Drosophila melanogaster: one gene and its partner. The protein of the gene in region 2 interacts with the protein of the main gene of each other region in a pairwise test. Each region holds a gene or a part of one and is shown on either strand. Other genes may lie near its edges. The genes, in order: CG13407 and CG14362.

The links.
Region 1: the proteins of CG14362 (region 2) and CG13407 interact in a two-hybrid assay, tested with the Drosophila melanogaster proteins (one large-scale study listed by BioGRID).

Annotation. Positions count from the first base shown.
Region 1 is NT_033777.3:22,101,826-22,106,349, forward strand, and holds CG13407 (uncharacterized protein), read left to right. Parts: upstream 1-1,588; coding exon 1,589-1,677; intron 1,678-2,244; coding exon 2,245-2,430; intron 2,431-2,705; coding exon 2,706-3,765; downstream 3,766-4,524.
Region 2 is NT_033777.3:13,853,939-13,857,587, forward strand, and holds CG14362 (uncharacterized protein), read right to left. Parts: upstream 1,517-3,649; 5' UTR 1,512-1,516; coding exon 1,427-1,511; intron 1,371-1,426; coding exon 1,101-1,370; intron 989-1,100; coding exon 723-988; 3' UTR 661-722; downstream 1-660.

The DNA of each region.
Region 1 (4,524 bases), 8.2 Mb from region 2:
AAGCGTTACAAAGCTGGAAAATGTGTGGAAAAGTTGCAGTGCAATTTATTATATGCTTTTGATTCTGCAAATCTAGCTGATGTTGTTCTTTCTTTTTTGTTTTGCTCCACGTTGTCGCTAGCACTGCGGAAATGTTAAATATTTGTTATTGCAGTCTAATGTTTCCGCTTTACGAAAGACAACAGACAGGGATTTTTCGAGACTGTGCTATGTTTGTGATCGAAGAGTTGTATACTTCTTGTTTAAAAGTAGTATATATATTACAATTAAATATAGTTAGAAAAAGTTAGTGGAAGATCAGAGCACTTGTAGTGTGTGATAACTGATATAAGCAGCACTAATATACCCCATAAAATTCAATTCAATATAAAAATCTTTTCTGGCAATGAAAACTATTAGCCCCAGTCATAAATCTTTAAGACCAAAGGCGTGGATGTGGAGAAGTGGAAGTGGACCCCAACCAAAAGCCGGGTTCGACTAACCGCACAAGGGACCACAAGAACCGAGCTCCATTTGGCTGCACAGACGACAGTGGCAAAGTCTGGGCCAGACATGGCACAATTATGACAATTTCTGATGCATAACGCTGCATCCATAGAGCTTTTAATGCAATAAACAAGCGACTGGAGCGTCATTAACACTGACAGGAATCGGTAAGGGTAGGGAGTAGGAGGAGTGTAGGGGGGGGGGGGTTGATGCCAAGGAGCATTCCCGGCCTTTTGTCGCTCACTAATTGTCTGGCCTGGCCGAAATGTGCAGCGCATGCATGCAACGCAACGCTCCAATTCAGGTGTGTGTCAGTTGGCCGTTGTCGCCACAAAACACTTTGCCGGCAATTGTCAGCTGGCTTTTGGGTACGTGTTACGAACAGTGATGGGAAATGGAAATACTTTCTCCACGGAGTACAAAATTAAATTAAGATACTAAAGATTACCTTTCCTGAAATTCAATAAAGAAGCAATATAGCAAAGTGGATAAAGTAAGGAGCTCTCGTTTAGAATCTATAACTTCTTCTTTTAATAAGTGAGTTACTATGTTTTTTGTAATTTTTGTACTTGTACCTAGTTTAAGTATTGGTACAAATGCTTTGCTCGAGCCGTACCTGCCAACACTGCCATTGAGTAGTTGTTTTAAGGCCGTTGCAGTTGCAAGTTGCTAGTTGTAGCCAAACTCACTTAGCAGCTGACAATGACAGTCGCCTGCCTCTCTTCTTTCCCGCATCACCAGCAACACCACTATCAGCACCACCACGATTACCACCCACTTCAAGTTCACCTGCGTTAATAGCCGCCTGCCAGGCAAGTGTCTGGGAAAGGCTTTGCCCAGTTGCCTAAACGACATTGTCACTTGCGGTTGGTTGGGCGCATCATCTCCTGCTGCTTCAGCCCCAAACTCCAGTTCGTCGTGCTCGTCCTGTTAGTCCTGATCGTCCTGTTTGCGGCTTCTGCAGTCGAGTTGCCATCGGTTTATGGCAGGTTGAGCACCAGCGACAATGAGCCACGCTGGTGCACCGTGTAGTGATAAACATGCGCGCTTTTCGGCACAAATCAATTAGCAATTGAATTTGGTGAACTCAAAGACGGTGAAAATGTCCGACGGCCAAATGACAAATCAACTCAACGTGCAACAGCAGGAACAACATCCGCTGCTTTCAGCCATCTCAGGAAATAATTATGCGTAAGCCATGGTCAAAGGCATTGGGATGTCGACTGTATTTGCCATACAGCCAAATCAAATTAAATTTGATATAATTAAGAAGTGGCACACTCACTCAGTTCCCTAGAATTATATTGTTAATCTGAACTCGCTTAAGTGCTTTTTATATATTTATCAAGAAGTCCTGCTAAACAACATCGTAAATAATGAATTAATTCTTTTTCAGTCATTGATATATGCAAAACTTAAACGCTTTAACAAACTTCTTTCTTCTATCCTACGTAATATTAATAATCGCTTAAAGGAGCCTTGAAAGAGTTTAGTCAGTTGCAACAGGATAAAGTGTGCTCTTTGGCTTAAAGATTAAGTGCTGGAGTGCCGGAGGCAACTGCAATCGCAAACGACCCCTGGCCCAAAAGACAGCCACTGCGGGCGCGGACTGATACCTCAGGCACTTAGCCGGGCTAATGTGGGACACAAACAGAAGCGGCGTCTCGGCCACACAACCACATGCCCAACCCCCCCCCCCCCCCACTCACTCATCCGCTTGCCCGCTTTCACCACTCACCTTCTAACCTTCTCTTGCAGTCAAACGCAGCGTGTGCATTACTATCCCAACCACTACTACCCGAGCCACTACTTGCCGGGCCATTACCACCAAGGACACCAAGGATACCAGGGGCAGCAGGGACGACCACCGCTCCTGGCGGCCGCCAGCAGCCACAACGGTGCTTATGCGGCCACGGCGGCTGGCAGCGGACACTCCGGCTACGGGTAAGCAAAGAACCACCGCTGCACTGAGAGAAAAGCAATGGGATGAACAAGAAAATTCATTCCAAATATACAAAGAAATTAAACTGTTATGAAAAAATATAAATAACTATTTGAAGATGAATATATACTTAATAATATTGATACTAATGAATACTAAAGTTTCGAACTTATCAACCTAAATTACCTATTTCTTCCTGTGCACTGGCCATCAAAGTCAAACCATAACCCCAATTCCAGTGCAAGTTCCGCATCTAATGCCAGTTTGAATTTTGCAGCGGCATAGAGCCATCCGTGGAGTACGAGCTGCAGCATGACCCACCCTCGGGTAGCTTCTCCTCCTTTCATCCCAGTAGTGCGGGCAGTGGGCCCGCATATCCATCTGCCCACCATCCGCCGGCTGGTCCACCACCGGCTCCTCCGCCCACCAAATCGTCAAAGAAATCGAAGAAGAGCAGCGGTTCGGTGATGAACGCACTAACGCTGCTCTCGTTCTTCTTCTTTGTTAACATGCTGCAGAACTGCCTGAAGGATCATATGGCTGACATGAATCCCACCGTGATGGTGCTCACAGCCAGCGGCACTCGCAATCGTTTCAACAAATTAGCCGAGATGAATTCACGCGAACAGACCTCGACAACGGCCACCGAATCGGTAACGGCATCGGCAGCGGCATCATCTTGGAATCATCAGGCTGCTTTAGTTCCGGCCGTCGAGCCAAGTGTGCCGCCCTCCATTGTTACGCCCACGGTGGTGCTGCAATCGCCCTACAGCCGTCACACGGAGATGGCCAATAAGCCGCCCCAACGCCAGCCAATGGAGTACCAGTCGAACCCTCAGCAAAATCATCACGATTATCGGCCCCACAACGCGAATGATGATGCTTATAATTACGGGCAGCGCCGACCTCCGCCTCAGACCTTCTCCACCTCCGATGGCGGCGATTTCTATCCTAATCGCACACACATCGACCACTCGTCCCGGCCCGACTTTGAATCGGAGTCGGGCTCCGATTACTATCAGCACCACTATAACCCGTATGCTGGCACAAACTCCCATCGGCATCCTTGGTCTTATGGCAGGCAGCGTTACTCATCCGCACCGTGGTCTTCAGCTTCGTTGGGCGCTCAGTCGGGCGTGAGCTCTTACTTGGATAATGCCCAGCGACGGCAAGGTGATGATGACGATGGTCATGGTTATGGCTATGGCTATGGCCACAGGGATAGGGATCGGGATAGGGATAGGGATACGGATGCAGATGGTTTCTGGGATGAGGACGAGAATGGTCAGCAGCGGCGACGCAGCGATGCTTTCTATACTCGCACACGCATTAATTGAATGCAAGAATTCCGCGCACATTTCTATGTTGCATGGCGGGGATTTGCTGCATTAACCCATTGCACAAAAATGGGGTGGCATAATGTGGATGGGCAAAAAAAGATGTGAATGGATTTTTTTTTAGAACAGCTAAAGCAGCGTTTATAGCTTATGGCATTTTACATTCTGTAAATATTATCCACGCTCTTTCGTTGTAGCTTAAAAATACCACATTTAACTTACTTGTATTATTGATTTTCATATAAAGTTATAATACGATATAAGAATTATTTTACATTACCTTTAAAAGTTGTATATCATAATGCACGACCGAGGGTTAAAAATGCTTAGCTTACATGTATTTATAATTAAAAGCAAACAACGTGCATAAGAGCTGACAAAAAATGAATGGAAAAAGGCGATGAGGCGGTGAGGCAGACAGACACACCCGGCAAGTTGGAATCGTAATGAAAATAAATGCTAATTTGTTGCACAACAAATTAAAAGTGCCCCCAGATTTTGCCTGGCGCTTGGCTAAGACTTTATTTTATTGCCTGCCACAGCAACTAAGTTGCAATTTTCCGGACTCACACACCCGTTTGTCTAATACAAATCTGTTGCATTGCTACCTAGCTAGCAGTTTACTTATTTAGTGGGATTTCGTTCTTGGCTCCACAATAATCACGGCCAATGAGCGGCAAAAGCAAACTCGTGTCTGTTGGATGGTGGCACTGGGGTAGCTTTAATTAACACATTTAGCGCAATTTAAAATGCATTTTG
Region 2 (3,649 bases):
AGTCAAAGGTAGTAAAGTTTATGGGCTTTCGGTTGGCATTTTGTAGGCTTACCTCATTTCCACATCGCATATACGAATTTCGCCCTAATAGAGTCATAAAGTTTGGCATTCGGTGGCCGGAAATCGATGTGATTCTGTTGAGTAACTCAAACTGCCTAAGCCCAATCAAACCTAGCTCACGAACTATATAGTTCCGATAGGCAGTATCTTGGCAAAGGTATCGTGATCGGTGAAATTTGAGAAGTTAGTCTATATATACACATGGTTTTTAGTTTTGTTTAATAGTTGCACAGCTATTTCGCTCTAGAATAAATCAAAAAATCATGCTGATTTTCAAGCGAGCTCGTATCGCATCTATATTGGCTTTAACTGTGAGTTTTGTTTCATAACATTTAACAATGTGAATGTATAAAGGCGTTAACATTGTTTTTTTAAAGATCTTGATTCTGCAAATAATACGTACATCTAAAGCTGCTGGGCTCTTTGATTCTTTAACTGGCACTACTGGGACCACATGTTTAAGTAACTCCTATTTGTCCGTTTTATCGAGCGCACTTTCAAGTCTTTCATCAGGGGATCTTAATTTGTTAAAATTGTTGAGTCCCGCCCTCTATAATGTTCTTAAACTTTTAACGCCGGTTCTAACGGCTCTCAGCGGCTAAATCATGTGTACATTTAATTTTCAAATTTTTGTGCAGTTGAATAAATAAACGAATTACTTATTACAAATCATCTGTGGTTCGACCATGGTATTCGGGTATCCAGGTGACCATCATTTCGGTCATGTCGAAGACTGCGAATGCTTTGCAGAAGTCTTGGAACATTATTTGGTTCGAGTCCGTATGATCCATTTCCTTCATTATGGTATTCACAATGCGCATTATCTGCACGTGATCCAATAGATTTGAGAACAGCTTGTGGACAACTACAACCAAGTCATACTTTGTAATACGACCGTCCTTGTTGTTATCGTACATGTTGAAAATTACTGAAAAAATTTATATTTTACTTATGTCACAGTCTGTAATATAGGCTTCCTAAATGGCTCAGAAGCAACAGCACCACTAACCGCATTTGACCATATTTATTGTTGAACTTACACCTTAATTTCTTGTCCATCATCACATTTTTTAGCTCATTGGAGGTTTTAAGAGAATGGGCCTGAAAGGTGCTCAGAAACAGAGCGAAATCCACAAAGGTAATTGTCACTTTATTCCCGAACATGGAGTTCAATATGGTGGGCAGCAAGGGGTTTAGTTGCAGTAGTCCTGAATAGAAATTGTACTTGTGCAGATGACTTGGGGGATCTTTGCCTCCTCCTGAAAACTGGTGGAATCGAATATACAGATACTTGATCTGACTACGACTTACTGGGAAATGTTATGATATCAGAATTCTGGATTTGCACAGCTTCATAACCTCTTACGTGCTGTATTCATCCTGAGGGTGTTCATAATCTCTTGTGGAACTGAGGGATACGAGGAGAACTTCCTCAAACACAGACATCCCATTCTGTAGGGCCATCCAATTAAAACAGATTTCTTAAAATTATAGTACTTGAAAATTTCCACTGACAGCATTTACTAAGAAGCACATACAATATATAAGACACTTGCTACTTCATTTTCCATTTCCCATTTTTCTTGTTTTTGATAAACGCCGTTCAAGATCTGTTAAGATTAGGGTCTAGACCTCATTTTATGCGTTAGTTGTCTTTTACGATCGTGTACACCCATAAAAAAAAGATCTCCAAAGACAAGAAGCTGCGACAAGTGACATTTTGTGCGCAAGAAGTCGAGCACTCATAAAGCATATTACTTCACTAAAAACAGAAATTAAACCGAATTCCGAGTGTTATTCTGATTCAGTTTGTGTTGGGGCCGACTTTAATGACGGTCGATTTTGGTATTTTTTTCCATTTCATGAAGGTTAAACGAACTCAAAAAAAAAAAAAAAAGCGTAAAATAGTTTATGAAATGAGTATCGTTTTAGCTCTTGCAGTTTAGCAACCAAAGATTCTTTATATAAAAATTATTTACAATATAGCCGTGTGCCTTTAACTTGATATCAAAATCACTTTACTTGGAGGTCAGCTGAAAAACTTTCGTGGACCCAAGGGAAAAATTGTTACAACTTTTGGCGGCCCTAGAACTTCAACCGCTGTGTGGTCCGCCTGCCGAGGGTCACGTCTCAAATGGTCGCATATCTGGTGGCCAATTTGCGGCAGAAATGTGTGCCACATGACAAGCAATTAAGCGCGGACTGCGACAAAGTACGTGCCCAAGTTGGGGGTTTAGTGAACCCGGTCGCGAAAGCGATAAATTTATGACAAATTTTCAAAAGAAATGGTCTGGTCAGACTGCGTGTGGTTCAGATATCGCCGTGGCTGTGGTGATGTTCCTGGTGTTTCTGCTGGTTGTTCTCCACCGAACTTTTCGACGTGGCGGCACTTAACACCACGCATCATTTTAATTATTTATTTGGCCATAAAACAGTCGAAGTAGAGGAAGGGGTCGGTTCGGGGGCGGACTGGCCAACATTCGGCACAGTTTTCGTTAGCTGGCGGTTCGAAATCGTTAAATTTAACAAATTGCCAGCGATTTTTATCGCGCTCCAAGCCCACAGTCGACCAACCCAAGCCCGAACCAACCCGTTCAGGCTCTTTTCTGTCCTGTTTGGCCCTGCCCATAGATTGTTTTCCTTATACTCACTCGTGCTTTCTGAACTGGCGAACTTATTTATGACCAAAGGCCGAGAGATACAGTATTTTTAGTTTCAGTTTTCGGTTTCGGCCATAACGCATAATTGGCCAAAGAGTTATGAGGGAGGGAGATGACTCAGGTACTCGAAACTTTTCCCTAATTAAGTTGAATGAAATCGTCCAAAGGAAAAGAATCCGCTGGTTCACTTTATGTGGTCGTTAAATCTTTGATGTTAGTCTTATCACTTCCTTGATCGCATATAACTATTTCTATCTTATTCCCAACAAACGGTACCAAACATCCCCATCCCGAAAGATAAGGTATTTACTATCCCCAGCGAAGTGTCATCTCTGCTGTCGGGTTCGTTGCCTAAGTCATTCGTTTGCTTCAAGTTCGTTGCCTAAGTCTTATGCTCGGTACGTACTCGTTTAACTAATCGTAAGCAAACTAATTAGTGGACAAAAAATGAAATTAAATCGCATCAAAACGACTTAATTATTATTGCAAAAATATATTTGGAGCTCGAAAAGAACCAACTAATTGGCCCGCAACAACAATTCTCACCACAGGCGAGTCACGCGGCAACAAGAACAACGGCCACTGCAAACATGTTAACTGAAAATAACTTGTAATTATAATAATTATCTGTAAATTATATGGCGCACTTACAATTGCACACGGATTCATGCGCTTGTCATAAAAATCCGAAACGGAGTTTTGAGTTAACTTTGCCTTTTAATCTTGCTCGAATTTCAGTCGAGCGTTCGCAGTTGGCAGTTAGCGGTTGCAATAGTTTACGGCAGTAAGCTACTGCTGGACATTCAGGCTGTGCACACTGCGAGAAAATTGGTGAGAGATAAGAAACAAGGTGTAGACTCTGCCATAACATTATGATACAATTCTTGATATGAATAAACTAATAATATATTTTAGCTTAAATCAATATG